Linked DNA regions of Drosophila melanogaster. The protein of the gene in region 3 interacts with the protein of the main gene of each other region in a pairwise test. Each region holds a gene or a part of one and is shown on either strand. Other genes may lie near its edges. The genes, in order: Nep3, BNIP3, CG15347 and CG14118.

Region 1 (7,404 bases), about 12 Mb from region 3:
CATCCGATTCGTTGGCCCCGAGCAGGACGCACACCTTGGTCATGTACTCAATGTACTCGTTGAGCACCTTGCGGTGATTGTCCGTCTTGTTGTTGTAGTAGTCGGCGGTGGGCAGCGTCAGACCGCCCTGATCGATCTGGATGACGTGACGCGAGGAGTTCTTGTCATCCTCACCGATCGCCCAGCCAAACAGGCAGTTGAAGTTGTACCTGCAGAGATGAATGCATGTCAGCTACAATATATAAATCGCCATTAGAAACCCTGCTTAACTCACTTGTTATGAAGAATCTTTAGAGTGTGTCCCATCGTCCAGTTGGCCACGTTGTAGCCGCTCTTGGTCACGTTCCATCCTCCGATCTGCAGCAGTAGATCGTTCATGGGCTTTGCCCCCAACTTCTCCATGTGCTCATCCGCATCCAGGCATGATTCATAGTAAACCTTAGCCTTCCGCTCCGCGTCCGACTTAAAGCTTTTTGCCGGCTTCTCCAGTACGTTACGTATTATCAACTGGTTCATCTGCTCCAGCTTGCCGAACGTACCCCACGTGGATTTCCCCTCGGGAATGGGGTTGTTCTTGATCCATTGATTGCTGCAATTTTAAGCAAATAGTTACTGGAACTCCTCTTGAACAATTTGAATTGAATTTTTAGTTAACGCACCAGGAATATCCATAGAAGTCATCGCACGGATCCACGGTCACATCGATCGATTTAAGGATCTCGCTCGAGGCGAAGATGCAGTGCTTGTTCAAGCAAGGAAGCTCATTGCCGGAAGGACAATCTGAAAGGGAGACGATTGTGTATCCTTGGAAATTCCTAGATTACATTCACCCAATCCATACCTTTTTGGTGCGGCTGGACGTGAAGGACGTGCTTGGTCGCATCGCTGCTGCCTCCATCTGTGAAAAGGACGATGAGCAGCGTAAAGATCGTGATGGCCATCACAAAAGTCGTGATGAGCAGCCATTTCTCCGTCTTGTTTCTCGAGCGCCAATTCCATGTAGCCTGTGAAATGAAAACGCCGCATTAGCCACCAATCATTCTGGCCTCCACATGGCGGCACAAAAGATTCGCCCCATAAATCTTTTCCAGCGAATTGTGTGTTTTGTAAACAAGACGACGGCGGTTCAAATGAGTTCAAACTTGTACACATTGGGGTGGTATCTACATGGGATACATTTCGTAAGCGTAAGGCACTTGCCTGCTAATTTTTCCATATATCGCTGAGATATAGATAAATGGCTTTTCAGAAGCCGCAACGACTCATGAAATGCAGTCTCCAAAGACAAATATTGTACCACACTGTTTAAATTCTATAGTAATTTAACTTGCTTTTAGACATTTTGTTGATACAGTTGTATACGGTCAAGTGCTTTCGTATATCTATGGAATAATATCACATGAAGTTTAAATTTATTTGAACAACGAACCGCCTCTCAAAGCCATCGTTACCCTGTCACCAGATAGGGTATTCATGTCAGTTCGCAGAGGGAAAAGCTCACACCAACGCGCTCCCACTCATAAGAGCAGACTTTTCACTGTCAACTGGCAACCTTCGAGCAAATGAGAAAAGCGCTCACTTTGGCCCCATTTGCCACTCGTTTCTGGGTCATTGCCACAAAGATAAAGCTGAAGCCCAACGACAACTAAGTGGCTATCCGACTGAATTGCATTGCACGGATGCACGGTGTTACCCCGACAGGTTTCTTACATACCCGGGCGGTGTGGTAGCGTATCTGCATGCCCGTATGGCCGGTCGCTTCGTTCAATTGAATGCCGCCGATGGAACTCGAGTCGTCCTCCGTGAATTCGGTCTGCTTGTAGCGCGTCATCTGGAATGAGAATCGAATTGTTGCAAACCCATCAAATTGCCTACCAACGTGTATCTAATAATCTAAATATGTTGCTGCTATCTGTTATCACATGTTTTGGTCTAGGGCATCTGATAAGTAGACCGAAGCTTTTCCGCTCGGATTGTATAGATACCGTGCGTTCTTTAGCGCTCACTCAACGCCTTGTGCTTTACATTTCTCTCACATCCCCCACTGCTGCCCATTTTCATATGGTGCTCTATGTACTCAAAAGTGTTAACCCTTCAGCAGTCAGCAGAGCATTCCAAGTTTACGATATGCCTTGGGTTTTCAGAAAATGTGCATTCATCATAGGAACAATTTGCAAATTACCCAAACTATATGGAAATATAGAAATAGAAAAAGGTAATGCACAACAACTTAAGAGAAATATATGTATAATTTTGTACTAAGAGTTCCTCGTAATCTTTGGACTATTTTTACTCGCTATCTAGATATCCATTCGAAAGAAATCGCGAAGTCTGAAACATGAACATGAACAAAACCCATTCTCAACCACTTGTCAGCATTCCATGTCTAACTAAGGTGCCCAACTAAAAGTGAATGGGATACAGGAGCTGAAGCACGGACATACCGAACGGCAGTCGGAAAGCCACATTTTGGTTAATCTTTGTGTATGGGGAGAGCACGGTATGCGGTAGTGTGTTTATTTTTCGGAACTTCGACGGGAGGAGCTATACGAAAACAGAGCGCGGCAACGATACTATCTGTGCTTAGCCCATGACCGCTCGCAAGGCACTGGCGGTCGAGCCCGGAGAGCTTCGGAACTCAGGGACTGCGAGTTCCGAGTTCTGCGACCAACCAATTCAACAATGCCCGCCGAAAGCAGAAAACATCTACGGGCCAACGGCGCGTTATATTGGATAGTTTTGCATTGTACTCAAATTAATTGACTGGCGGCTGTGTGCGTGTTTACTGCGGCAATATGTGCCAAGATGTAGCCGAAATGGATATACTGGGCGCATTAAAATGAAAAGGAGCGGCATATGTATTCAATTAACACAATGCAAATATACACCAAAAGATTCGGCCTTGCTTATGTGCACTTCTATATATCTTCTATATCAACCCACCCATTTTCGGTATGCCGAATAATATTCTAATGTCGATTTGGGATCGGGGATCGGAAAGGCGCCATATGATATGATTTCGCACTCGATCTTGTTTGCCAACAAATTGGTATCTTTAAGCTTTCGATATAGATTTACGAACGTAATCTGGTGTCGGACAACAAGCGATATAAATAACATATGATGGATGGGGGCGATATGATATTGCAGGTATACAATAGGTATATAATACACGTGAAAATGGATGGGCCACATAGAACCACATTTAAAAACACATTAAGCAAGAGGTATCCCTCAGTTTGGACTGCTTCTCGCCACGATTTTCCATCGCAATGTAAACACAGGCTGCACACCAACTGACATTTAGCAGACTGTTGAATGTAAACACGCATTAAATGGCGTTACGCCTAACGAGCCCTCCTTTTGCCACCAATCAAATCGGCTAATGTATTGAAAAACAAGGAGGTAGAAAACCATTGAAAGGTTCGACTTAATGGGCAAATCAACGGAATTGACGTCTTAATACTTTTATGGGAAATATATTAAGTTCATAACATGATTGAATATGATGCAACTTTAGGTCCCATTGAAAATGATTAACTAAGTTATTATATACCTTAGTCTTATGCTCGAAATAAGGATATTTCACTCAACCATTTACTACGACTATTCTACCAAAGCGTCCATCCAAGGGAGTTTTAATGAACCGAACGGAGCCCATGTGAAAGTCAATGATGGCTACTTCGGATTCTCCGAGTTCATAAACGGCTCTTCATGCCATTTTTTTTGCAGGGCAACAGATGATAACTGCAGGGATTCACCGAATCACCACCACAATGGGATTTCACTTGAGCTGCACTGAGTTGAAATCTGGTAGAATGAGTGCTCTCGACTCGTCATTATCTGTCGTTATGCCACCTCCTTTCTCGATTTGGCTGCGAGTATCCTGGCTATTTGGTATACCATATGGTAGCTACTTCATTTGTGCAGCTTTCCTTACAATTTCTCTATACCAAGGACCATAAAATCGGAGCAGCTTAGATGTGTGAGTGGTGAGAGGGTGGTGTGCCTGGGATGCATTTATTCAAATGCAAATGAAATTATGACTTTGAATCGGACTGTTTGGAAGTGGTGTGGTGTGGTGGGGTGGTACTTCTGATTGCACATACAGCACACTCACACACTGACACACTCACACACACACACACACACGTTCAGCAAAAGAGAGGCGCGCTCTTGGCCTACCTTTGCGCTCATTTTCTTTGTGCGCTAGAAAGAAGGCAATGCAACTTTTCCAGCTCCCTGCGCTCGCTTTTTCTCGACCCTTTGCCGTTTATTGGTGCACTTTCGATTAAGTTTGGCCGACCCTCGATGGGTATAACATTCGATCGTTCAGTGATTCATTTAAAACGCGCTTATCTGCATTCCGCTCGCGGTCAAACAAACCGCTCTGAGCCACAAAAAGGCAACGGTATCCACCAACACTGCCAACTCGAGCCACTGACAGCCAGCTCCAGCACCAGCAGCAGCGGTAATCGCACTCGAACTAGCCTTTTCTCTCCAAATTTCACTCGGCGCTGGGAGTCGGGTGGTTGGACTCCCTCGAAAATGGAAAAACCATAACACAAACGTATTAGATGAGCAAAACACACACAAACAGAGAGAGAAATGCGTGGCAGGAGGGAGCGAGTTGAACCCATTGCCGGAGAACGTGGTCCACTGCGCAGGATCTGTTTGAACGGTGGCAACGCTTCGCGCAACGAGTTGCCAGACAATCACAGTGCCCTTCAACAAGCTATCGGTTTAACCCACGTAATCGAGTATCCAAAGCTAACGATTCTCGTAATTCTCAATTAATCAGCTAAATTTGAATACCAGTTACTCGTAGAGTAGAAGGTTATACTAGATTCGTTAAAAAAGCATTGTAACAGGCAGAATGAAGCGTTTCGAACTATATAAAGTATATATATTCTTGATCAAGATCAATAGCCAAGTCGATCTAGCCATGTCCGTCTGTCCGTATCTGTCCGTATCCGTAGATCTCAGGTACTATAAAAGCTAGAAGATTGAGATTCAGCATACAGCTTCTAGAAACAATGAATCCTGTGCGAGCAATGGCTATGAATAATGAACGTCAATGAACATGTCAGTCGAATGACAAAGTCACTATTCAATTTCACTATCTTCGGCAAAGCAGTAAAAATACAAGCATAAGGTATTGAATAGTCCATTAGCATAACCCTATCGGCCGACCTAAATTGCTTTACGTCACAACTGAGAAAGCAAACAATTCGCACATGCCCACCAATTGTATTGTGAGGCTTTTCGTTTTCTACATACATGTATGTACATATGTATATGTATGTTTGTATGTATTTTCCGTCGAACGGTAGCCACAACGTACCTGCATTGTTTGCCCGCCTCCGAACGCCACTCACCTGAAAAGTGCGAAACGGACGGACAACAATACACACATATATAAATATATATATATATATATATATTTGTTTATTTATATGCATATACAACATGCATATGTTAATATTTAGAAAAATATGTATGCAAAATATACTTGGTCATAAAAGATCAACGAAGGTTCGAATACAATTCGGGCGATCATCAAAGCACTGTGACTCGGCATTCCCCATTCGCCAGAAGATCTATGTACATATATGTATGTATGTATGTATCTCGACTTCTGGGGCAAACCAACATGGGAGCACACCTTAACCCAAAATGACCCCGGCCCGTGTCGTGCATATCATTAATGACCCAACCAATTATCGTGTTCTATACAGCAAAAAAAAAAAAAAAAATAACATCTCGACACTCGAACATGAAAGCACTTGAAGTTGCGTGTTCTCGTTTGGGAAAATAAAGTACGACCGCGGTTTTATGTTCTTTGATCGAAAAGAAAATAATCTCATCTGCATGTGGAACAAATAAACGATGAATGGATATGAACAATAAGAAGAATTAATACCACTAGTATAGCTAAATTTTATTTTGAGGATTCCTTAATAAAGCAGACGCAAATTAATTGAGAAAAGTGCGTCGACTAAAAGATACCCATTACCTGCAGCTAACCGAAACTATTTTGTTAATCTCAAGTCACAAGTCATATCTAATTACAGAGTGAGATAAATACAGGTTGTAAACTTGTAACAGAGAAAATTTTTGTGCAATTCGACTATATGATACCTAGTGGTAATATTTTACCCAAAAAGATTTAAGATGTTTAATCTGTTGTTTCGATTTTCGATTTCAGTGCTAAATAAAGTGCCTATTTTGATCATACCCCACCGAAACTACAGCTCCATTCAAATTGAGTAAATAAACACCAAATAATATGACTCAGGGCAGCAGAAAATCGCTATTGTTACTCATAACATGAGAGCCGAGCTTGGGAATCGAGTTTAAAACCGTCAATGGCACTTTGGAAGCGGTTTAGTTGAAGTCAAACGCGCATTCGGAAAACATGTCGAATTTCAATCGCATTCTGATCGTCATTGTTATCGGATTGGCACTAGTTCATTTTAGTGCTGGTGAGTGAAACGCTAACAGAACATATGAAAAATCGCACAAAAAATACGATAAATAAACATACGTATAAACCTCAGCGGCTTTTCCATGGAAAATAACACATCGCATTCGCACACACGATACCATTTCGACGGTGCCAAGTAAACAAATTCAATTTCAACTTCTAATGGAGAATTAAGCACTGCGATATTATCAGCAAATTATTGATCTCTTCTATTTGAAACCAAATATGAAAGCAAAATTTTTAAACTATTTGATTTAAAATGTGTAATAGTATTAGGTCTCATTTTGATAACGACCATGTAGCATGTTTGGTCCACGAGAAGTGGCGGGTACATTGTGGTCAAGGAAAGTTACCTTTTACATGCGTTACTAATTCAAGCACATTTCATTTGAATCCAGTGGATGCCCAGGCCGGAACGGTGCACTGGAACAATGGAAATGCGGCCGGCGTTGGCGTCTATTCGAGCGCCCAGTCCGGCGGGATGCATCCGCCGGGAAGTCTGAGTGGCCAGGATCCGCAGTTCAGCTACGGATACGCCGGCATCGATTCGCGTGGTACCTACGGTGGAGCGGGTGGCAATGGAGCCTACTACGTGAGCGGTACGGACGAGCACGGTCGTCCCTTCTCCTACAACAACCAGGTGGGCCATCCCGGCCAGCCGGGCTACATGGGCGTACGGCCGGACCCCAACTACCCGGGTACCTATGGCTACCAGAATGGCGGAGCAATCATCGGCAGCTCGGTGGGCGTCACCGTGACCATAGCACTTGGATTGGCCTTGGGCGGCATGAGATTTTGATGCGGTTGCAGTGTGGGATCGTTTTTTTTTTTTGTGAATTAGTCTCTAAGCTTAATTTATGTAAACTTTTCAGTTGTGTAAATTCTTTACTAAATTTACTAAAACATAGAATGCTTTT
Region 2 (9,542 bases), on a different chromosome or scaffold from region 3:
AAATACGTAAATTACTTATTTATTTTATGACCCATAGCTACCAGTGATCTCCATCGATGGCTGGGCACCAATTGTCAGTGCTGAGAACAAGACGCCTCTGGGCGAGCTCAAGGTGCTTCTGGCCATTGGAAGTGAGTCGCAGATTGCTCAACTGAAGCAGCTGCGTGGCTTCGACCATGACAACAACCAAGTACCGGCTCCAAGCCGGACCACAGACTTACTCGACATGCTTCAAAATGCCATCGCAGCTCCGACGCCGAATATCGCAGGTCCAGTAATGCCGCCGCCACCGGCTCCTCCAGCGCCCAGTACCTTTAGCTTCCAGTTGCGCATCGTGGGAGCTGCTGGACTGCCCCTAAATCCCGGCTATGGGAAATCGAAGAAGCAAGTAAAACGTCAGTCGGCAGCCAAGCGCTTCCCGCCCAACGAACCTCCCAACACCTATGTGACCTTCCAGGCCATCAGTTGCAATAGTCAGACCTATAAGTCGCACGAAGGATTGGTGTACGCCACACCAATTGTACCCAAATCGACGAAGCCCCAGTGGCTTAGCAAGTTCCGCGTGGACGTGAGTCGCGATTATCGCAGCAATGTATGATTTAAAAGGACCTTTTCTAAGAGATCACCTAAATACATTCCATTTTTCCTTTGCAGCCCCAGAAGCTTTTCATTCTGAAGCTTTGGAAAAAGGCGGTTGTTAGCCCAAATGGCATCACAGAGCCGTCTCCCCATGAAGATGCCATAATAGGATTCGCTGCACTTAATCTTAACCAAAAACAAGCGGGCGGAGGCTTTCCCAGCGGATGGCATAACATAGTAGACTTCAATGGACGTGTGACTGGGGGAATCGAGGCGCACGTGGAGCCCATATCGCCCAGTGTAGATACCGTAATCGATCAGTTCGAGAAGTCCATGGAACTGGGTCACTTGCAGTTGGGCCAGGCCATCAAGCGCAAATACACGGAGCTGGAGGAGATCTCGCAGAGATTGCGATCTCGGCTGGTGGATGTGACGGGGGAAACGCTGAAGTTCCCGGAATTCGATGTCGACTCCGCATTGGACAGTTGGCAACAGGAGGGAGATGACGATGATTTAGCGGAGGACTTTGAACGCTCCCTACGCACTCCCACGCCCCCTGGCTCGCCAACGCCCTCCACCAGCACCGCCGCACAAAATCTCAGAAACTCGAACGGTCAGGAATAGCCCAGGGCCAAAAGTCAGTTAAGAATGTTTTTTCCTCTCTCCACATCTCGATGTCGTCTCTGATATTGGCTCAAATGGTAGCTATAGTTAACCATCTAGATTTAGGCAATATATATATATATAATGCGCGGATCTTAATCTGATCTGATATTATGCTGTACTTAAATTGGCATCCCAGTTTTGCCTCGATTCACCGTCTTATGGCTGTCTATATAGCATAAAATCAAAGCTAGCAACGATCACCCAGCGATCGTTTCATTGAGTTACAAATCGTCGATTGAATATTGTTTTAAGTCACGAGGATTTTTCCCAGCAACCACACGGAATATGTATTAGTTTCGGAACTGTGTTAATCACCTAAGTATTTAGACACTATTACCTAATAAAACTTTAAATAAAATTACAATTGCTAAAGCAACTCAAAAACAGTTAGTTTATGCACTTTAAAGGGCGGCAGTTTAGTTCGTATCGATATTGCATTCGCTTGGCAATTGATAACAAGTCTAAATGATCAACTAACAAAATTAGTTGACTATTAGCACATTATGATGAAATTATCGCTTATACTGACTCACTGCTGATAATCTCAAAAAAATATTAATGGCGAAATGCAAATAGCGGGTTTTTCCCTTTATATACACAAAGGTAATCCAAGCCCTCACTTATGTGAAACAGTTTGATAATGCGAACAGGTACACGTCTAGCGATTTTCAAAACAACAGGCGACTTATTCAACAACAAGCACCGGGAATGCCTTTTAGACAAAAGGCATCTCAAAATACCTTGCAGCACTTCCCTGAAAATCCCTTTCATCTCACTAATCCGTCTTTCCAAGATTATAAAATTCTCAAAACTTTCTAAGCCATCTCTTGCAATTCCGTAAAACCCACCAAAGAAAAATGTTTGCAGATGCTCTTTTAAATAGATATTGAAAAATATTTTAATATAAAAAATCATTACAACTATTCTGTTTTTTTTGTGTGGGGGATAACCCTTCCCTCACATTAAAGATATAATCTTATGTGTGCCATATTGTTTTTTTTTCTCCTTTTGTATCGTTTTTCTTATATGCTTATTGTATCGAAACATTTGACGATTGTTCAACAAAAAGTACAATCAGGATACAATACGATTCAACTATAATATGTCTACAAATGTTTATGGTTGTTCTATATGATGTATGATGATGAAATTGAAATTCTTAACACGAAGTTCGGCGTACATTTGTATTGGATATAATGCACGGTTGGGTGCTAAGACATACGGCTAAAGCAAAATATATGGAGCATCTATAAATGCTTTTCTGTATCATTAGATTTGCTGCCTTGATATAATGTTAAATATATAAAATTATATAAAATATGAAAACGCTTAGTTTCAACCATTGCCCAAAGGCCTGTTTTAGTTTGCTGGCTTAGTAATTAGAAATTACATTTTTATAGGTATGTACTGAATGAGAAGGTGTCGAAAATATAGACTTCCGATAAAAATACAAATGAGTTGGAATACGGTTGGCTGTATAGATGTGTATACTTCGTTTTCTTATATGGAACGCATCGTGTTCTGTTTTCGATTGATGTGCATATTGATAGATTGAAAACGATTATATATATTTCCTCTTTCTCCTTTTTGTTTATGGCATCTTTCAGTCAATGACCACACGGGTAAGGAGTATGCCACGCTTGCTCAACCATAGCCTATAAATAAATACCATTACATGAAATGTGAATCTGGTGAAGATTGCTAGAGACCCTTACCCGAATCCAGCTCCCAGCAGCAGGGACAGGACGTTGGTCACCAGCAGCGAGTACAGAATTTCGCGGGAGAACAACGAGTTGGAGCCCAGTCGCTTCAAACGGATGGAGTAGCCTGTGTTAGTCTTCTTTTTCTCGCCCTCGTCGCCGGCATCCCGACTTGAATCCTCAATGTTCCAGCTACTGTAAATAATAATTCAATGAATGACCATTTGTGGTAAAAGGCCGCAATGCTCCAAACTTAGTTCTAGATTCTAGAAACTTAGCTAAATAAACTTTCATACCTGGGTGGCTGATTCCAGTTCTTCAGCCAATCTTCATTGCCTGCATTCTGTTTGTCTCCTCCCTGGCAAAAGCAAAAACAGAGACTGGCATTGTTAGCAAGATCACCTCGGTTCCGCCTCGATTCTCATCTCTTACCTTGGTCCAGTAGTTGATGTACACGTTTCTGAGCTCATCATCCGGACAGAGCTCCGACTGGGGACTGTTCGGTGGACTCTTGGGGCTATCACGGGGCGTATCACGACGGGAGCTGGCCAAGGAGACGACACGGCTCGACTGGTTCGACTCGCGCTGGGCCTCGCGCAGAAGTCTCAGGTACTCCTCGCCATTGTTGAATGGCAACGGAGTGATTCTGTCGGGGCTCTTGATGCCAGCCATCGCAGCTGTTGTGCTGAGTTCGATCCAAGATTCTGGAAAGTAGATCATTAGCATGATAGACTGGCGAACAAAGTGGGTGAAAGCTAAAGCCAAATGGGGTGAAATTAAATATTTAGTTGGTTGCATTTGGAGGTGGTTAAATATAGCACAGGCTCGAGGGTCGAAACCTTTTGGGGCGTGTTGAATAAACATGAGAAGTCCAAACACAGACGTGCGTTATGACGTTCTTTATTGAATTTATACAAACGAAAACGTTCTAGGTTCGTTAACAACAATTTTTAATTTAATTTTAGAAATTTTCATACAGAACATATCAATATTTTACGATGTTTAAGTTTTGAATGGTTTAACCCTATTTAACTGTTTATTTATGAAACAGTTTATTTATTTCTAAGCTGATAAACGTCAGTTTAAAGTAATCCCTTGTCTAAAATTACACTTGCTGACAAAATAAAGTAGTTTCACTTGTTTACTCAGAAAGGCGTGCAGTTTGAGAGCCACTGTGCGGCGGCAGCGGCTCTAAAAATGTGCCATCGTCACCCTTTCAGCGTTTGTCTTCGTTTTTGTTTACACGTAAAAACATTTTAACCATACATACGTTCGATTCGTTAGCCGGATCTGCAATGTATGTGCTTGTATATATCTGTTCGAGTGCTCGTGCCCCATTGATAACGCTAAAAACCCCACCACTCGCATAATTTCCGTTTCTTTTCGGCATACTGTGTATATAAAGCAGCACACATGTTTTGTTTATAGTCTATACAAGCCGATGCTTATCAATGCTCTACGGAGAAAATTTCATTTTCAAAACAAATCGAGAAAAAAGACAAACTGGCGATGCAATATGGGCACGAGAAGCGTGCAAGTTACTTGATAAGGAGTACAGTGTAGCGTTCCTAAAAACTACCTAATAATACAACCAACTGATTACATGTATACGCATATATATAATCACACATACGATCACACCCAACGCCTCTTATATCATCTATTATTCACTTTCTAATTAATTAAAATTAATTTTTTCTATAATTTTGTAATGTCACATTATAAATTTAAAATCTTCCTGGTATTGCTTTCTCTCGAGTTATCACTGTACAATCATCTAATTTAGACACTTTCGCGATGGAATCAGTTACAGAATAATTCAGATCACTCACGTGGCACACCAATCATGCTGACAATTGAATACTAAATGCATCGTCTAGACGAAAAGGATGATGCATTTATGATGGAAATGTTGCGAAAATAGAAAATGGAAATGCCCGTATGTCAGGTAGACGCAGAAGTTTTGCACAGGTAAACAATATTTGGAGCATTATCGGGAATCCGGGTTACAGGTACGAAAATGGAAACAAAAACAAAAGCAAAAGTGCACAGAAGGGTGGCAAAAACAAAAACAATGGCTTTGTGACTCACGGCACGTAGGCCTCTCTCCCTCTCTTTCGGCCAACCACCCTCCGTCTCTCTCTAACAATCACTCCCCCTCTCTCTCTCTCTTTCTACCCTACCCTCTTCGGGCTTTGTCGGGTGTGCATCTTGATGCGCAGCTGTCCAAAAGACCCTGAGTTGGGCCCATTGAACCGCCTTTATTATTGGATGGATGACTCCTCGGTATCATGATACGATTTCTTGCGTAGTATATGGCACAGTGCACAAAGAAAAAATGTTTCTCTAAGTTGGTCATTCATTTCGCACGTGTTTTAAGGTCAAGAAACAGATCAAGCCGGCGCATTACTTACACACTTATTTCATATACATATGTACATACTTAGCTTTAAAAGATTAATATCAGATTCATTCAAACGTATAGAAATACATATGAATAATATTTATATGCTATCATTGATAACGGAATTCCACATCCAAACTGTGTCAAACCTTTCAAAAGTGATGTATTTCATAACATATGGTTCGATTTGGGCTAAAACTGATTAGATTAATACTGCTTGGATGGTAGTAAATTGAAAAACAAATTTTTCGTCCGGCATTACTTTTGTGAGTGACTTTGCAGAATTGTAGTATAATTTCTGTGGTAGTCAACAACCTTTTCGACAAACAAACAAAGTGCTTTCAAGCAGTCAACCAAAAAGATTATACTTTATGTCAACAAAATATTTCAACATTTCGTGCAATTCCTAAGAAAATTTATTGAATATTGTCCATCATACGATTTTCATAAAATTAAGAGATTTTGAAAAACACATTCAAGTACGTTGATGAGTATAAATTTATATAACCTAGTTTTTCCGCGAGTGTAAACGTGGATGTTGATAAAGTGGGCAGCCGAAATACAATTGAAGCGAATATGCCAAAGGCGCAATTTCTGGAAACGACCGATAGGGAAATGCCCTCCCACAAAATGTATTTATTTACGAATTATTTTAGCAAGCCAGACGGAAGAAGAAGACCGGGTCGGGGAAATGGGGAGCGCAAAAAGTAAACCACAACTGACGTCAAGCGTGCTAAGTGCAAAGTAAAGGAACAAGACATGACATGAATGAAAGAGCGGAGGGAGAAAGAGTGCGTTGGCAGCTTCTTTGTCTTTGTTTTCATACGGAGTTTTGCGGATTCTTTGTTGTCTCTCTTTCTTTCTCGCCCCCTCTGCGGAGCAAGAACAAGTGCAAAGTAAACAAATAAAAGCAGAAAGAAATCAAAAAGCAGACAACGCAAAGCCTTGAAAAAATATGGGATGCGGATACTAACAAATTGCAAACAACTCCATAAATACATACACATGTCTAGATACTCTCGCAACAACAACAATGCGGCATAACGGGTTACCATGTTATTGTTATGATTGTAAAAAGGGGAGACGCAAAAAAACACGAATGAAAGAGCAAAGCAGACGAAAACAAACAACTTACCGCCCAGCAAATCTTCGCTCGATTTTGGTGTCGTAGACATTTTGTTTTTGTTTATCGGTATGTGTGTTCAACACGTCAACACCAAAGATAACTTGGGTTTATTGCTTATTATTAACTCGCTTTAAAGTTAAACTATTTCTATTATTCTTTCGTGAGTTTGACCAAGTTTTTTTTGGCCCTTCCGTATGTCTGCCTGTGTTTGTGTATTCGCTTTTGCTGTTTATGTATGCGTAGGAAAATGCGTTTTACTTTTCGTTTGGCGCTGTTTCTCCGCCGCTGCACTCGATTTGACTATAACTACTGGTTTCGGACTGAAGCCAACCGCTGGAGCTCCGAAATATTGCAACTTTGTTTAATGCTTCTCCCGAAGCGACTGTCTTGTAACTAAAATTAAACACGATTCGTTTCTACGCACAAGCTTAATGCGTAGTTTAAATCTTTTGTTGCTGTCCAGTGTGACCAGATGGAGAAACGGTAGCAATCCAGGTGCGTGTCTATGTTTTCCTACATCTGGCATCCCTTGTATCAAGTAAATTTATTGGTGGTTATTTTTAAAATGATAAAACTTGGTTTCTGTTGACTTTTGAAAATATATGCATATGCATATATGAATATGAAAAGTATATATACATTTACTTTTATTTTATTCTTATCTCGTTTTCAAAAACAAATCAAATGTTTCCAAATCACTTTTAGCCACATTTCGGACGAAATAAAAGTTATTGCCTTCCACTATAGTTTTTGGCGATATATACAGGTCTTTTTGCGGATCATATTGCGCTCTTCCAAGCAATTTCAGGAACTCATGACGTTCCCGCAGTCTAAATTCGCGTGAGGCCAAAAGCTCCGGGCACTGGACAATCTGGGCATGTGGAAGGCCCATATCCTGGTGAATGTAACTAAATCGCTCGACAAGATCATCCGGAGCTGCAAGGATAAGTTGTTTAATTACAAATGTCCTTAATTTTGAATGTAGATAGACTTACGAATCATCAAGAGGCGCGGCTTTCGTACCACCAGGTCACTTAGCTCCTTGGCATTGAATCCCATTTCCTCCTTAAGGGTGAACACAGACTTGCGGAGGTGTTCCATATTGTAGGTAATGGCATTGGGTTCTCTGGTGGCCAACAGTCGCAGATCATGACCACTCAATTTGAACTCCTTTTGGAAGTAACCCAATCGACGATCCACTCGCCTGGTGGAGAACATCAGCCAATAAGGATTCTGGGTGAGAATTCTTTGCCTGGCTTCGTCCGAGAATCTCTTGCTTTTTAGATAGTTCACTCTGGTCTGCAGATCGTCCAAGTCCTCCTTGAACAGCAGCGGGTTCTTGGTGAACATCCTGCCGAAGTCATCGGGTGATACGCCCTGATCCACCAGGAACGTTATGTAGGGCTTCACATTTTTCTCGAAATCCAGCTTCAGTACAAAGTCTCCCAATCCCTTTCGCCGTTCAATACTGTGCAGATCCACTCCCAAGCTGAGAAATTGCTGCAGGGTACTCGAGTTGTTCACATAGGCCGCCAAATTGAAGGAAGGCACATGGGCCTCCCGATTTCGGAAGTCCAGAGCCACTTCTTTGGAGCCTTCACATTCCGCAGGCTCGGTCTTCTTGTCATTCTGTTTGGTGGTTATACCCGGTGATGTTAACACTTCTACCTCATGGTGGACACTTTGTTGTCCTCGCAGATTTCGTATTTGTGAGGTAATTGTTGCGTTTTTAGCCGCATTTTGTGAATTCCTCAAAATGTTACGTAGAGCTGAACAAAACATGCTGGAGGCGTTGCCAGATGTCGCGAATGTGACCAGCAGTTGGCTGCCAAAGTTTCTAAATATGGCATGCTAGCTAGAAAAAGCTAAAATTATATTTTGAATATGATTTTGATATAAAAACATATTTGTTTTTAAATGGATATTCTTGAACAAAAATGCACTACTAATATCTGATTTCTTTAGTTTTTTTATGAAGATATATATAAAATTGCAAATTGTTGGTATAATTTTTAATCGGACGGTATATGTTAACGGTTACCACCACGGTCACACTAGGTATGATCTTGGATTTATTTTGGTGTGAAAATTCCGGAGCATAAAAACAGAAGAGACCCTTGTATGTGCAAAACCCCCCGAGAGGAGTGCCGGTAATTCCAAGTCAGCCACCTGTTGAACATTATTCAATCGCCGCATAATGGACAAGTTGCGCCGCGTTCTGAGTGGAGATGAGCCCACTCCGGAGGAGGAGAGCAGTATCATTACGCAGGTGAAGAAATTTTCTAATGGTACAGATCTCATTAGATCCCTTAACATATTCTGGCTGGAGGAATTATGATTATGGCGTGGCTTAGGAGCTAGCCGCTGGCAACGCCCCGCGATCACATGGCGCCCCAAGCCGTGTGACCCAACGCTTATCAAAGTATTTAGTTAATATCAATCAATTACATACGCAGATCAACGACATGTCCACTTTGAGCTGGTCCACTCGGATCAAGGGATTCGTCATCTGCTTTGCCTTGGGCATCTTACTTTCCCTACTCGGCTCGGTCGCCCTATTTCTGCACAGGGGCATTGTGGTCTTTGCGGTCTTCTACACTCTAGGAAACGTCATCTCGATGGCCAGGTGAGCGAGTTGCTGGTTCCGTTCCACTCGTACTTCACACAAGCCGGCTAATGAGTCTCTCTTCTCCGGTTTCAGTACCTGCTTTCTCATGGGTCCCTTCAAGCAGATCAAGAAAATGTTTGCGGAAACACGGCTGATCGCCACCATCATCGTGCTCGTCATGATGGTCCTGACGTTCATCGCTGCTATTGTGGTAAGGCGTCCATGCTCAAATCGAAGATATCACAATTATTTAGGGTTCGGTCGTTAACTTTTATAATCAAGTTAGTTTTATAGCGATAGCATGACGAATTTGTTTGCAGGTTTTGTAGAAAACTTTTCCTTAATGTTTAGACTTTAAAGTTATCCAATGAAATAGCGATCCAAATCTTATACATACTTCATGAACTCACAGTAAAGTTAAATGAAAGCTTTTAGCATTTTACTTTTAATATTAATAAC
Region 3 (7,311 bases):
GTCATAAAAATAAAAGCACCAAGCTTTAGTCAGCTGTGCAAAAGCTGCCGGAGAATCAGGTAAAAGCCAAAGCGAGTTAAGGCAAAAAGACAGCCAACTGTTGCCACTTCAGCGGTGTGGAAATTAGAAAGTAATATAGTCCGTGTTTTTCACGCAATCATGGACCTGAAACAGCGCACATATCTCCTGGTGACCGGTGCATCACGTGGAATTGGCCGTGAGTTCGCCCAGCAGTTAGCCAAACGGATCAAAGCCGAGGGTTCCATGGTGACGCTTCTGGGACGCAATCAAACCCTTTTGCAGGAGTCTAAGGCAGAGATTGTCGCCACAGTGCCAGATCTATCCGTGCAAACCTATTCGCTGGAGCTGGAAACGGCCAAAACGGAGGACTTTACCAAGATTCTGGAGGCATCCGGTGGAAAGAACAATTTCGAGCGAGCCATAGTCATTCATAATGCCGGCACAGTGGGCGATACGTCAAAGAGGGCCAAAGAAATCGGAGATACCGACTTCCTACAGCGCTACTACCACTCCAATGTCTTCTCGGCCATTTCGCTAAACTGCGAGTTTATGCGCGTCTTCAAGGGAATCCCAAAGTTGGTGGTTAATCTCAGCACCTTGGCAGCCATTGCACCTATATCCTCGATGGCACACTATTGCACGGTGAAGGCAGCCCGTGAGATGTACTTCCGAGTGCTGGCCACCGAGGAGTCCGCCGAGGACACCCTGGTGTTGAACTACGCGCCCGGCGTCATAGACACACAGATGACCGTCCAGGTTCAGCGAGAGGCCCACGATCCCGCCGTGGTCGCCATGTTTCGAGAGCAAAGGGAGTCCAAGACCATGCTGACTCCCGCCCAAACGACGGAGCGATTCATCAAAGTCCTGGAAGCATTCAAGTTCAAGTCCGGCGATCATGTGGATTACAGGGATGAGCAGTTCTAGCTAGTTAATCAGTATGTTGCTATCTGTGGTAATGGGGTTTTTCGTATTGAAACATTAAAATGAAACTAAAAATGTGCGCAAGTGTTTTTGCTACAACACCCAATACATCTTAATGAACTTCAAAGCTGATAAGATATGTGTATGATGTTTATGATTTACGCATTCTTAAATCTTCTTTCCAACAACTCGGCATCTATTTATAAGAAATATACAATTCGTAACAACACTGTGGGACTATGTATAGTATTCTCTAATGAAATTAAACATGAATAATGTAGCTGGGTTATGGGTAATGTTATGTACTAAAAGAAATCGGCTGCAGTGCGTCGTTTAGTGGGTATCTTGAGCAGATCGTCCGTGAGCGTGGATCCCGTATCAATGGTAACGTTCTTAGCCGGAGTGCTAATCTTGGCCTGCTGTTTGGGTTTGGGTTCACCCAGTATTGGCGTATTGGTGCTCCTCACCACGCCGGGCGTAACCTTTCGTTTTCTGCCGCTCATCGGCGATGGTGTGTGCCTTAATCGGGGCGTGCCGCGGATACCCAGCTTACCCGTGGCCAGTAGCTGCGCTGCCGGCGACATGCTGGCCAGCCGTTCCATATTGGTGCGTATCAGTGGTGAGCCAATGTTACGACGCGCCGTATCCAGAGCCATTTGTTTTTGATTTCGCATCCTTTCGCTGACCCTTTCGGCCAAAGCGATGGCGATGTTTTCGCGCCGAGAGTTCTCATTAATCCGGAACGAGGGTCCTTGTGTGGGCCGCAATGGGGTATCGCCTCCGTCCAGGCGAAAGGGAGTGCCATCGATCTCACCCCAGGTCATTATGGGCGAGAAAGCCTCTCCGGGTCGCGGTGATGGTGAACGCAACAAATCGAAGCCGCGTACCTTCGGAGTAGCTGTGGCACCACCAGCCCCATTTTGGGGCACTTCATCATTCAGCTTTTTAGTGTCCATTTCGCGATGCTTTGCCTCATCGGGCAGCCTGGTGGCATTGTGTTGGATGCTCTGCTTCCGTTCGGCCAACTGGACGCGCTCCTCCTCTGTGTACTCCACGCCATCGGGCACGTACATAATGGAATTCATGTTGGTGTAGTTCCAGGTTTCGATCTTTCTCAGCGGATCTGGCTCCTCGAATTGCGTTTCTATGCTGGGCAGCATTAGGGCCCGCTGCAGTTGCTCTGCGGAGAGCTTCTCATGGTTGTACAGTACTGCGTATTTTTGGCGCAGCTTGGCCTCGGCCGTTTCGATGATCTCCTGAAAGCTCTGGTTATCCTCGCTGGTGTACTTCTGCAGAAAGGCGTCCAGCGATAGCTTCGCGGTGGTGTCCCTGCCCTCGGCATCGCTCTTCTCGGAGCCGTCCGTGGAAAATGGTGTGTCTGTGGCCCGGGAATTTGGCAATGGGGTGTTGCTACATTTCGCCTGACTCACTGGTGTCTCAAATGTGGCCGGGGACATGGCTGAAATGAAGGAATTCAAAAAGTTAATGGGTCTATCTATTGAACTTGGCCAATGTATAATTTCATCAGACTTGATTTCAAGTAAGATAGTAGCAGACAGCGATGTGCCAGTGGTGTTCATCCAATTGAGTACAATACCCACCATTATTCCGTCGGCTGGTGCTTCTTCCTGTCCCGGAAATCCTGCCCAGACTGTAGCGCTCCCGAATCTCGGCCATTTGTACAAAGTCGCGCCGTGACTCCGCGTCCAGGTAGTCGTTTTGGGCACGCAGCCGCTCCAGATCGGGAAAGAAGTCGCGCTGGATGATCTTAGACATCTCCTCGATGTACTTCTCCTCGGTAAGGATCTTTGGCTTGTTCTTGTGGCGCACCATCGCCGTGGGCTTTTTAAACTCGGCGAGTGCTGAATTCTGGACGCGGGCCACTTCCATGGCCAGGCTGCCGGGAGTGCCAGGTGTCCCCGGTGTGGCAGGTGTTCTAGTCGTGGCGCTCATTGCCGTTTATATCTCGCTTTTTTCGTAAATAACTTTGTTTTGTTTAGATATAAAAAGTGAATATTTTTGTCTGCCAGCAAAGTGTGACCGTTTTAAGTTTCACTCAGAATAACAAAACGTCGGTTCAAAATATTTCCCTGTATTTTTTTTTAATTCTCGGATGTAAAAGGTGAAATTAATCAGCTTAAAAGTTTCGACTTCCTTTACAATAAATTGGTGAGTATGAACCAATTTAAATTTAAATAGAAACAAAATGATATTTTGCTAAACTATATTAATTAAAAACTCTGGCAAGGAGTACTTATCGACGTGTTATCGATAAGTGTGGAACGCATTCAAATGCGCGCTAGCATTTGAATTGAAATTTTAATGCGATTAGCTAGCACTTGAAAATGAAATTTATTACGATTTTGCAAACATTAAAGATATATTTTTAAAACATCTGGAAGTTTCGCAAGTGCGCTGACTAACCCGCTGAACATAATTTATGAAAATGAATGTATGCCAAAGAGCGACAACTTTAGCGTCGTGAATCATTTCAAAACACTTTTTTTTCTCAACTCACCAATAGAATTACTGTTGTCGTGGTGCCTTATCGTAAAGCTGTAGGTATATATGAATAGGGTATAAAGCTCGGCAAAACTCAAATCACTCATTGAACCTTTTCTACTCCCTTAGTTCTGGTTCAGCTCCGTAACCAGTCGCAACATTCGATCGTCGTGAAATTAGTTACATCAGTTATCAGCCATGAAGTTTTACCTGTTGGTGATTGCAGCCCTCTCGTTTTTGGCCTACATCAGTTGTGGTAAATGTTGTACCTGCCTAAATGTTGTTCCAAAATAAGTTTCACTTTTAATTTTCATCGGGATCGTATTTTTTTTTTTTTAATTTTCTTTTTGCTCTTTGAATTGAAAAACTTATTGAGTGTTTTATATAAGGTGTGATAAGCGGTGATATCATGGACACGGAAATAAATTCATGATAAGCTATCAATAGGCGAGTTTCCAAAGAAACTTTTAAAGGTTCTTAGCTTTGTAACTGGGCAAACATATTCTTTTTTTTCTAAGTGTGAGTGAGCCAGCAAAAAGATGTGAAAATTGTACGCCATATATTTAAACCATGTGTACATACAGCTGTGTTCAAAAAAATAGCAGTGCAAGAGAAACTAAGAAATGCGACGGTTTTTTTTTCATGTTTCGGGATCGAATTTTTATTCCACTTATTTTTGTGAATTGGAATGTGTAGATAGGGAAAAAAAGAAAATGTCGTTAGTTTTCTATGCTATCCTTTTTTTTATTTACATTCTTGAGCAAAATCACAACTTTTAGGCTGTTCAACAGAATAGCAGTGTCTGGTTTTGACCAACGTAAACTCCCGAAATGATCAATATTTTCTAAAAAGTGAGTTTGAATTTGAATTTGAATTTGTATATTTAAAAGGGCAATAAATTAAAAAAATAAAAAATAAAGAAACGCAGAAGCAAATCGGCTAAGAATAAGTTCGTTCTAAGTCAAGTTGAATTTTGTTACTATTTTTTCATAGCACTGCTATTTCTGCTTGTTTTAATCTATATTTTCGAAACTATTAAAAAAATGAATGTGAAACATTTGTTGAATTGTTTAAAATTAAATACCTAATGATATTATAAAAAAAATTTTCCCATTAAAACTTGAAATCTTAAGATTTTTTTATTTTAAACTCAAGCACTGCTATTTTTATGAACACAGCTGTATGTCAGCGGTAATTTAATTTCTCTTTGTGATGAAGTACATAGTTATTCCGTTTCATTATTAAAGTTGAAACATAATCTCGTACATTCGTACTTTCATGTAAACACTTGGTAAATATTTAATATTTACTGCCACCTGATATGCTAAATATAATTTGCTTGCAAGCTTTCGATTTATAGCCAATGTAAATTGACTCTTCTTATCAAAAACATACAAGTTTGCTGATTCACTTGTCATGGGCATGTTCGTAAGAATCGATTGTGGAAAATCGAGACAATTGCCATCCGAGTACAGTGCGCGTCATTGTAATAAGGCATGCAGGTAGATACATAAAAAGAAATAATCAAACACATTCAAACACATATGCACTGTGGTAGGTAGGCAGACTTTGCACGAAATCAATATGATGTCATTATGCCAACGCAACGATTACGAAAAACTTGATCTAATCTAATCAGGCATGACTCAATCGAAACGCTCCGTTCCACTCGCTCAATTTGCAGATGGATGCATCCAGTGCAATTCGAAGGACAACGAACGCTGCGCCACAGATCCATTGAGCCTGCTCAATCGCAACTGTTCCGATGGATCCTCCAACTGCTATTCCCGCGTCCTGGGTATGTTATCGCATTGATTACCCTGGCTGCACCATCTAATGGTATCTTTCGCAGATGGCTACACAATTCGCGGCTGTGCCGTCGATCTGGACAACGCCACGCGTAATTCGTGCAACAACGAGCTACTGTGCCAGCTGTGCACCTACAGCGAGGGATGCAATCGAAACACCTTCCCGTTGAGCCGCCTCATGTGCCTACAGTGCACAGGGAACTCGACCTCGTCGTCCTGCGCCACAGAGACCTATGTATCGGCCAAGATCTGCCCGCTGTACAAGTTCGGCGACAAGTGCTACATTCGCAATAGCAATCGCACCGTGGACGGATCCTTCCAGCGCGGCTGTCTCACCTCGGCGAATGCCAGGAAGCAGTGCGTCAAGGATGGCAACTGTTATACGTGCGAGGGACGCGGCTGCAACTTTCTGCTGGCCAATGATACCAACATTCCGCTGGCACGCGACAGCGGTGCCCAGTTGATCATCTCCATGACGCTGCTGATCAGCGGTCTTGTCGCCGCCTGGAGACTCTAAGATGTAACGACGGCCAGAGTCGAATGATGGACGAAAGTCAATCATGCCACAGACCCAGTTCTTTTAGAAATTCCCGTCTTATTATTTTCTACATTCTAAAACATCATTATACATACATACATACACTGGGATGTTACATTTATACTCGTTTATTTCATTACTTTGAACAAAACGTTAATAAAGATAACTAAACTAAAGAAGACAAAAATAGAAATGGTTTAGTTATTACATTTTGGGATTGGGGGATAACCAAAACGTTGCTCACTTTGAACAGTTCTTCATCGTAATGTTTTTTGAAGCAAAAGTAAGCATAAAACTTTAATGCATAAACACAGTGAACACACATTTCACTTTTTACGAGGTGTCAACGGGTTGGCACTGCAGTTGACAACATGCCACTGTGTTTATGAAGTCCCGATTTCAATTGCGATACCCTATACCTCTATTCCTCGATTCCGATCCCAGACCAAGAGAAATCGACGACGAGCCGCAAGTACCGGAGTGGCAGTTGGAAAACCGGAAGCTCTCGGCGCAAATGAGGAGTGCATAAATGTGTCGACGCCTCCGAATGTTTGTCAATTACTTTTCACGGCTCGCTTTTCCGGATGCCATTTTCCATTCGATCGAACTGGATGTGCGGAAATAGATCAGTTTTGTGCATGGTACTCGGCTCCAGCGATTTGTTAACTAAACTAACTATTTATAGGCAACATACGTACGTGGAAATATATATACATATGTACTGTGCGGGTTTTTAAATGCAAGTTATAATATTAGTCAATTTGATTTAAATGCTTTTTTCTTGTTCCAATTAGGTAGTCAAATTCATTTCGCTAGAACTTCGTTGCCATCAACTTTCTGATAGCTTGTACTTGATTTTCTTCGATTTTGTTTATGAAATTCGATTGGAGAATCAACAAATGTTGATTAGGCTATAAGGTAATCCAAGGATGCCATGAAATTTTACTCGCACTGGCATTCGCATGACGACGACAGTTTTACACAAGGGGTTCCAGAAGCAAACTTCTATCCGAACAAAGCAGACTACACCTGGAGACACAGAGCTTGTGTATAAAATCTAAAATTATCTATATATATATATATATATATATATATATATAAATTCGGGCATCAGGATGCGGAAGGTCCAAGTTTTGGTTCAGACGCGCGACGGCAAGAAGACCGTCTACGAGGTGGATCGCTTAGGAACGGTGGCCAGCCTGAAGGCACGGATCGGGCAAGTCATGTCCGTGCCCATGGGCTTCAGTCGGCTGTCGTACAAGGGTCGCGTGCTATCCAATCAGAGCGTACTGGAGGATTTGGGGCCCAATAAGTCCACCCTGGATCTCACCTGGAAGCCGGTCGTCCTGACGGCCAATCAGAGCAGCAAGTTAAGCAAGTTCGGCTATGGCAGGATAGACGATAGTGAAGTTATGTTTACACTGATCGGTGGCTATCAGCAACGCGAAGAATATCCTGGTGGCCTAGTCAATCCACCGGACGACGAAAGTCAACTAAACTTCAACGCAGGTGACGATGATG
Region 4 (6,914 bases), on a different chromosome or scaffold from region 3:
TTGGTCGAGTAATCATTCACTTAGAATTGTTGCGGATTCAACAATGCGGTTAAACTTCGTTTTAATTAATCAGTAATATCTATCAAGGCTGAAAGTGTGTGTTATTTTGTTAAGCAATGTTTATTTACCCCTGTTCAAGGCGTAGTTCAGAGACCGTTTAATAGATAGTTCTATTCGGCTAACCTACTGCTGAAATATTTAGGCAGTAACTTATTAATCGTGTAAGTTTTAATGTACTGCATTTAAACAGCCATACAAAAATATTCAATTAGCGCTGTTTAATGAACTTTTATTTATGTTAGAAAGAGTCAGAACAATAATCATCATATTTCGGTGATTTAATTTTGCAAATAATCATTACCGCAACTCATCAACCATGAAATATCAAAATGATATAAATATGAGGGATTTAGGGAAATGAATTTAGTTAGTTTCGGAATTTTACAAGAGAAAATGGAACTTGTTGGTATATATTTGATATTAGCCACGACGATTGTTGTCCAAGGATACAGAAGTAAGTCAGCGAACAGGATAAGGGATAAAATCTAAAAAATTCCCCACTATCAATACAGAATTTGGACTTAGTTGTGAGGATATTGCCTGTATATCTGGTAAAAAATGCATTGTATCCAGAGTTCCCTGCGAAAACCCAAATCAGCAAGAAGGAGAACAATGTGGAACCTATCCGGAGTGCCAATCAGGTTCGTAAAATTTTGTTTTTTCATCGGTTCACACTGAAATCTGGTCCTTTTCAACTGATCCGTTTCAGATCAGCTGGCCAGCGATTTCATCATCGACACTACACAGACCACTGCCAACACCCGAAACAGCATCATCATACCCAGCACTTCCACGAGTCGCAATCGGAATAATAGGAACAGTGACTTTAAACTGCTGAGCGATTTCAGTAACTCCGATACATTTGCCACCCATGCAGGCCAACGGCAGGCTAATGTTTTGGTTATTGTTCAAGATGGTTCCCAGCAACCTCAACAGCCAAATCCTTGGCTAAATCGAGGACAAAGTCCTCCCTGTACCATCAGTCCGCTCTACCCATATTCCTGTACTTATCCCCGTTATCCGAATTCGGGAGCAGGATTGCCTTCTTATACGCAGCAGCGATCGGCCAATGGGCCACAATTAGTTCCTCCCACTCCACCATGCTACTATAACTGCTATCCCAGTGTGCGGTCAAGTTCATATGGTCAATATGGATACCCCCTGTCTAGATCAGCCAATCCCTCATCAACCAATAACTATTTAATCTACCTCACATTAGCTGGCTAAAAGACCAGGAGCTTTAGTTATGTGCAAATAATAAATATAGAATCTATTATCAACCTTTTTTTTTCGTTTCTATATCTTCGCCAGTTTTGCACCGTTTCCGGCGAACGCCACAAATGCCTTATCAGCCTGTGGGGATGCCAGCTTCAATGCCACCCGGGTATCCACCACCTCGCCCACCGTTTCAAATGCAGCAGCCGCGTCAAGTTGCACCACAATATGTGATTCCACCTCAGCCCAACCCACAGTACGCAATTCAATACCAGGCCAACCGGCAATATGCCATGCAAGGACAACCCAATTCGGCCAATCCTTGGCTCCACTTCTCAGTAGGGATGTCCTATCCAACGTATATGAACTATAATGGACGTTCCGCTGGGAACTCACTTCCATCATTTTACAATCCGTACCCACCCAGTTATAGTACCTATAATTACAATATTAACTTACCCTTTTCGGGTGGATCTTCCTAAGATCTTCGATACTGGTTAAAAAAAATTCAAAGCTACTCAGCACCGGATGGACTCCTTCCGAACATTATTTCATTACTTTCAAATTTGTCGTTCCTAAAATTAATAGCTAATACATATATTTGTCAGCTTCTCTGGGGGAAACGATGACGGATTCCGAAATGGATTCTGATGCAACACTACCACAATTTCACAATCGATCGGCACGTCAGATTCCAATGCGTCCCATGCCAGGACCAATGCCAATGCCAGGAGCGCTGCCGTATCCTGGTCCTGTTTCAATGAATGTACCATCTCCGGGGCGTGCGTATTATCCCTCGTATATGGGACAACCTTATATGGGACAACCGTACATGCCAGGTGCCATGCCCATGATGCCAATGATGCCCCAGGGAGGTGGAACTATGGGTGGTACCAGCATAATTGTGGAGCCCTTAATAATCCTGCCAATGGGCATTGGGGCAGGCACGGGTACGGGCGTGAATCCAAATTCATATTATGGATCGAATGGAGCTTATCCCACGTATAACAATTACAATCCCTACAATACGTACACTACTGCACGACCCAGCTACGACTATAACAATTATAACAACAACAATAATAACAATAACAACGATTACAACTCATATGGTTAGATTTCAATTAAATGATCCCCGAAATCTACATGATCATTATTCATTTACAAATGAATCGAAAGCTGTCCAGGTATGAATATATTGTGTACATACATTGTTTGCCAGGTCATTTAACAATAGATTATTTTCGATTATTAAATAAGAAAAATGTCAAATATAATTGACGATTAATCTTGAATAAAATTATTGAGATACATCATTCGCGAGATAAATCACTTTTTGTTTTAGCTCTGTAAAGAAAGGGGATCGACAAAAGCAAAGAACTTAATGCGACCTAGACCTAAATACACATACATATGTATAAAGGTATATAGATAGAAAGAACTCGGAAGTACTCAAAAAATGCAAACAATCCAATGGTATTATATCTTTATTCTCAGAGAGATTACAAGACAAAGAAGCAAAACGAAAGAGAGAGCGAGAGAGAGAGAGAGATGTAAGATACAAGAGCACGAACTGAGAATATAAATAAAAACACCTGTTCACCAAACAAATAATTCAGTCGGCGGTTAGATAGCAACTTAACCGGTCGAGTTGAGTTTCCAACAAAATGATGCTTCAGTTTATCGGCCTAATTTTGGCGGTCGTGATTCTGCGAGAGATTCGGGCACGTGAGGCGATCGCAACCATTCCAGATGTGGGTCAGATAATCAAAGATCTCGATGGACTGCACATCGATGGAGAAATGTTTCATCAAGGTATGTGGTCGCCTAAAAGTTAATAACCATACGTTTATCCAAAGCAGACTGAGCTTTGTTTGAGTAGTTTGACTGTAGTGGTCACATTCGGAATGAAATATATGTACATTTTGGAATGCAAAAAGGTCTGATGTTTGTTTTTCTTAAAAAAAACTATATTGTAGAAACAATAACCTTATTTACACATAAAAGTCACCTGCTTCAACAAAGTAAAATACATAGCACCAAAGGGCTGGAAAATAAATTAGTCTTAAAATTGGTTAAAATTCAAAATAAGAAAGACTTAAATATTTAAAAATATATATATGAATATAAAATTATTATATTACAATTGTTATATATATATTGTTCGTATATATAATAATATTATTGTGTTGTAAAATATTTAATCTTTATGTCATCGCCTAAAATTATGCCAAGAATTTTTAGCCACATCTTTTAACACACCTAACTTCCCATTTTAGGTTCTCCCTGCAGAGTGGATGTGCAAAATGATCTGCCCCGTTTGGATAAAGTGCAGCCGCTGTACCTGCGCCCAGGAACAGATCTCTACTGGCTGCCCAATGCTTATGGGCACCTGGAGGTTCAACGCGGCGCCAGCATCGAGCTGCACTGCAGCCATTCGTTCGCGCCCGCGAATGGAGAGTCTTTGGATGCGAAGCTGCGTTCCATTCGGGTGAAGTGCGTGCAGGACACCACCTTCGAGTGGATGGGGGCTAAAATCCATTTCAGCGACTTTGTCTGCAATCACTCCATGCCCTACACCGTGGAGCGATTGGACAGGAGTTGTGGCAGCGACACTCCGAGTCCATCCACCTCGTACTTGTATCGCGTGGGCTATGACACCGGAGATGGCAGATTTGTGGCCACCATGGAGCTGTGCCACGACCCAAATCAACTGCGCACCCACTACGCCCACCATCAACTGACACCGGCGAATGTGCACTTCCAGAAAAAATTGAAACGCCCGAGGTTTAGCACCGCCGGCCATTTCACGGGCTTTGACATGGCCAGAATTTATTCGCCCAAGAGCCAGGAGAAACTGATGGTGCCCGGCCTCATTGACGTGAAGAGTGGTCTGTTCCTGGCCCGCGGACATTTGACGGCCAAAGCGGATCTAATCTATGCTAGCCAACAGAAGAGCAGCTTCAACTACATGAACGTGGCGCCGCAATGGCAGAGCTTCAATGGTGGTCAGTGGTCCAAGCTGGAGGAATCCACCCGACAATATGTGGCCCGTTCGGGCATCACGGCCACTGTGTATACGGGCATCTATGGCGAAATGAAGGTGGCTGGCAGCAAAGTCCTCCACATGACCACCAATGCCAATAACATAGGTGTGGTGGCCGTGCCCCAGCTCTTCTATCGCGTCCTCATCGACGAGGGCCATCCGACCCGCGGAATCGCTTTGGTGGGTGTGAATAACCCACATGCCACCCTGGCCCAGATCCACGAGTCCTATATCATCTGCGATCCAGTGGAGGAGTCGGTGCAGTGGCTTAGCTGGCTGCACAAAAGCAACGCCAAGGGTAACCTGAAGAATGGCTATCTGTATGCCTGTTCGGTGGCGAATTTGGCCCGGGCTGTCGGACATTTGCCACGCCCACTTCTCGAAGTGGATGAGCTGCTCACTTAGATGTGGGCGGTGGCGGTTCGATTGCCCGTACTTTTAAGTGAGTGCAATAAAGACTGAGTGAGTTGTGTGACACAACTGCAGTTTGGTATTAGTGAAAATCACGTCACAACACTGCAACGAATGTGCAAACCCTTGAAAACAATTTTGCAGAAATGCATTACTGTATAAATATATATACATATATTTCCTTTGAGCTATTAAGAATAATTCATGATTATCTGGTACAAAAAAAAAAACATAAACATCATAAATCTTGGAATTTAAATAAATCTTTAAAGAAAAGGTCTGCAGATTTTGTCAACCTAACAAGTTAATTTCCATGAAGGAGTCGTCCTTGCCCATTCTTTTGCCAACCATCTGTGCCCATTCTTTTGCCAACCATCTGTGCCAGTTTCGTGTGTGTGCTCAGATTATTAACGCTCGTGTGGGCTTCACGCCATCAAAATCAAATGGGACATCGTGTGTGGTCATGTCGGGGGCGGGGCCACGCCCACGTTGGTGCCTCGAATCGGGAAATGCTATACACTCGTTATGCGATTGCCTTGTTGGCGAGGGCGCAAAATCGCTGGAAGAAATGGGGATATCAAATACGGCTCGGCTGCATTACCTTCATGCCGTTCACAAAACACAATTTGTTCCACAACATTGATTTAATCCTTTTTCTTCTGCGCCACGCACACACACACACACACACACACACACACACACATACACGGGAAATACAAACAACGCAACGCACATAAAATGGCTGTCGTGAAGAATTTTCTTAAATTTTCCGCTGGCTTTTTCATGGCATTTCCCGTCGTGGAGCTATGTCCTTGGCATTATCATGAATATTTGCCCCCTCTATTCAGTGCTTTCGATACATTTCCATTTGCTGATTTGAAGCGCACTTTCCACTTTTCCACACCCCAGCTCCTTGCCGCCTTTCCGTTTTTCCGATTTTCCGTTTTCCGCTCGCTTAGGTCGGTGCCGGTGTATTCGAAATGGGGCAAGCCGAAATTATGTTTTTATGCTTCCTTGTGCGGTAAGCAATATTTGCTCAAGTATCCCTCACAGACTGTTGGACAGTAATCATCAAATGGGGCACAAAGAGTTGGGAAATTTGTGGTTCGTGTTTCAAGAAAACGAGGCGGAAAAACTAATGAAGGGTTAATAAAAAAACTATATCGTATAGATTTTATTTCATTTATTAAATAATTTAATATGACTAAGAGTATAGCACAAGTTGGTTTGTTAGATAGTTAAGCTAGAAATGTAATTATTTAAAAAGTCGAATATAATTAAAACAAATCATCAAACAAGCTTCTTTGACATAACACGAGTTTGGAAAACTTATGCAACAAAAGTTTTAATAATCAGTTGATGGAACATAAATTGAAAAAATAAATCAACGAAATACGTAAAAAGGTAACCAATTAAAAACTGATTTCTATGCAAATGAATTCTTCCGACAAGAAACAATATAACTTTCAACTTGCCTCACATTCCCTGGAAATTAAATGTTTTTTTTTTTTTGTTCTGTTTGCCTAGCTGAAAGGCACTTGTAGCAATCGTATACCGCTTAAGGACATGAAATGGAGTGCAGTACAAGGTCCGAAGTCCAGACGACTTTCCTTAGTGGCCATAACATTTTTCCTTAAAATTGGTTACAAAAACAAGGAATACAACAAATTGCTTCGTTGTTGTTTGTCTTGTTTCTTTCGCAGACTTGATGAAAGTTTATCTGCTCCATGGAAATTGTGAGGTCAGTGGCCAAAAGGAGCAGCAGCAAGGATACCACCGACCAACCGAAAAAAAGTCAAATAATTGAACGCACTTCGCGCAGATGTTGTCGGGATTCTTTTTTATGTCATTGCTGGCAGAAGGATATGTTGTGTTGTGCGGCCGCCAGCGGAAATTATAATTTATATTTGGGTTTTCGCTCGGCCTCTGTGTGTATTTTAATATCGCCACCTCTTGTTTGGAGGCCAGCTCCAGTGGGCCTTGTTTTTTATTTTGATTAAAATGCATATTAAATATTTGGCAAACAAACAAAAAAAGAAAACGTACTATAAAACCAACTGAAATGTATCAAATAAAATGATATATATAAAAAAAAACAGTGCAGAATACATAAAAAATATAATATAAATAATTTCCTGCTACCGCCTGAATTTATTTCCCGCTGTGGGTCCTGCTTCCTTCC

What was found.
Region 1: the proteins of CG15347 (region 3) and Nep3 interact in a two-hybrid assay, tested with the Drosophila melanogaster proteins (one large-scale study listed by BioGRID).
Region 2: the proteins of CG15347 (region 3) and BNIP3 interact in a two-hybrid assay, tested with the Drosophila melanogaster proteins (one large-scale study listed by BioGRID).
Region 4: the proteins of CG15347 (region 3) and CG14118 interact in a two-hybrid assay, tested with the Drosophila melanogaster proteins (one large-scale study listed by BioGRID).

Annotation. Positions count from the first base shown.
Region 1 is NC_004354.4:19,958,382-19,965,785, reverse strand, and holds the start of Nep3 (neprilysin 3), read right to left. Parts: upstream 4,490-7,404; 5' UTR 4,186-4,489; intron 4,098-4,185; exon of another isoform or gene 3,941-4,097; intron 2,611-3,940; exon of another isoform or gene 2,445-2,610; intron 1,832-2,444; coding exon 1,715-1,831; intron 1,005-1,714; coding exon 842-1,004; intron 781-841; coding exon 660-780; intron 590-659; coding exon 275-589; intron 210-274; coding exon 1-209. Other genes in the region: CG12655 (uncharacterized protein), read left to right, coding at 6,419-6,485, 6,886-7,286. UniProt on the Drosophila melanogaster protein: Metalloendoprotease which is required in the dorsal paired medial neurons for the proper formation of long-term (LTM) and middle-term memories (MTM).
Region 2 is NT_037436.4:20,512,484-20,522,025, forward strand, and holds BNIP3 (BNIP3), read right to left. Parts: upstream 6,911-9,542; 5' UTR 6,525-6,910; coding exon 6,485-6,524; intron 4,822-6,484; exon of another isoform or gene 4,794-4,821; coding exon of another isoform or gene 4,778-4,793; exon of another isoform or gene 4,216-4,777; intron 3,650-4,215; coding exon 3,378-3,649; intron 3,304-3,377; coding exon 3,242-3,303; intron 3,141-3,241; coding exon 2,961-3,140; intron 2,901-2,960; coding exon 2,849-2,900; 3' UTR 2,116-2,848; downstream 1-2,115. Other genes in the region: CG32425 (uncharacterized protein), read left to right, coding at 38-592, 655-1,203; mTerf3 (mitochondrial transcription termination factor 3), read right to left, coding at 7,134-7,411, 7,471-8,257; CG5104 (uncharacterized protein), read left to right, coding at 8,673-8,744, 8,932-9,101, 9,177-9,294.
Region 3 is NC_004354.4:8,457,155-8,464,465, reverse strand, and holds CG15347 (uncharacterized protein), read left to right. Parts: upstream 1-3,567; 5' UTR 3,568-3,642; coding exon 3,643-3,700; intron 3,701-5,083; coding exon 5,084-5,242; intron 5,243-5,296; coding exon 5,297-5,769; 3' UTR 5,770-5,972; downstream 5,973-7,311. Other genes in the region: Sptr (sepiapterin reductase), read left to right, coding at 160-945; Es2, read right to left, coding at 1,248-2,401, 2,544-2,895; CG32713 (uncharacterized protein), read left to right, coding at 6,906-7,311.
Region 4 is NT_037436.4:12,889,771-12,896,684, forward strand, and holds CG14118 (uncharacterized protein), read left to right. Parts: upstream 1-2,887; 5' UTR 2,888-2,942; coding exon 2,943-3,090; intron 3,091-3,554; coding exon 3,555-4,726; 3' UTR 4,727-4,988; downstream 4,989-6,914. Other genes in the region: CG43894 (uncharacterized protein), read left to right, coding at 454-514, 573-701, 770-1,287.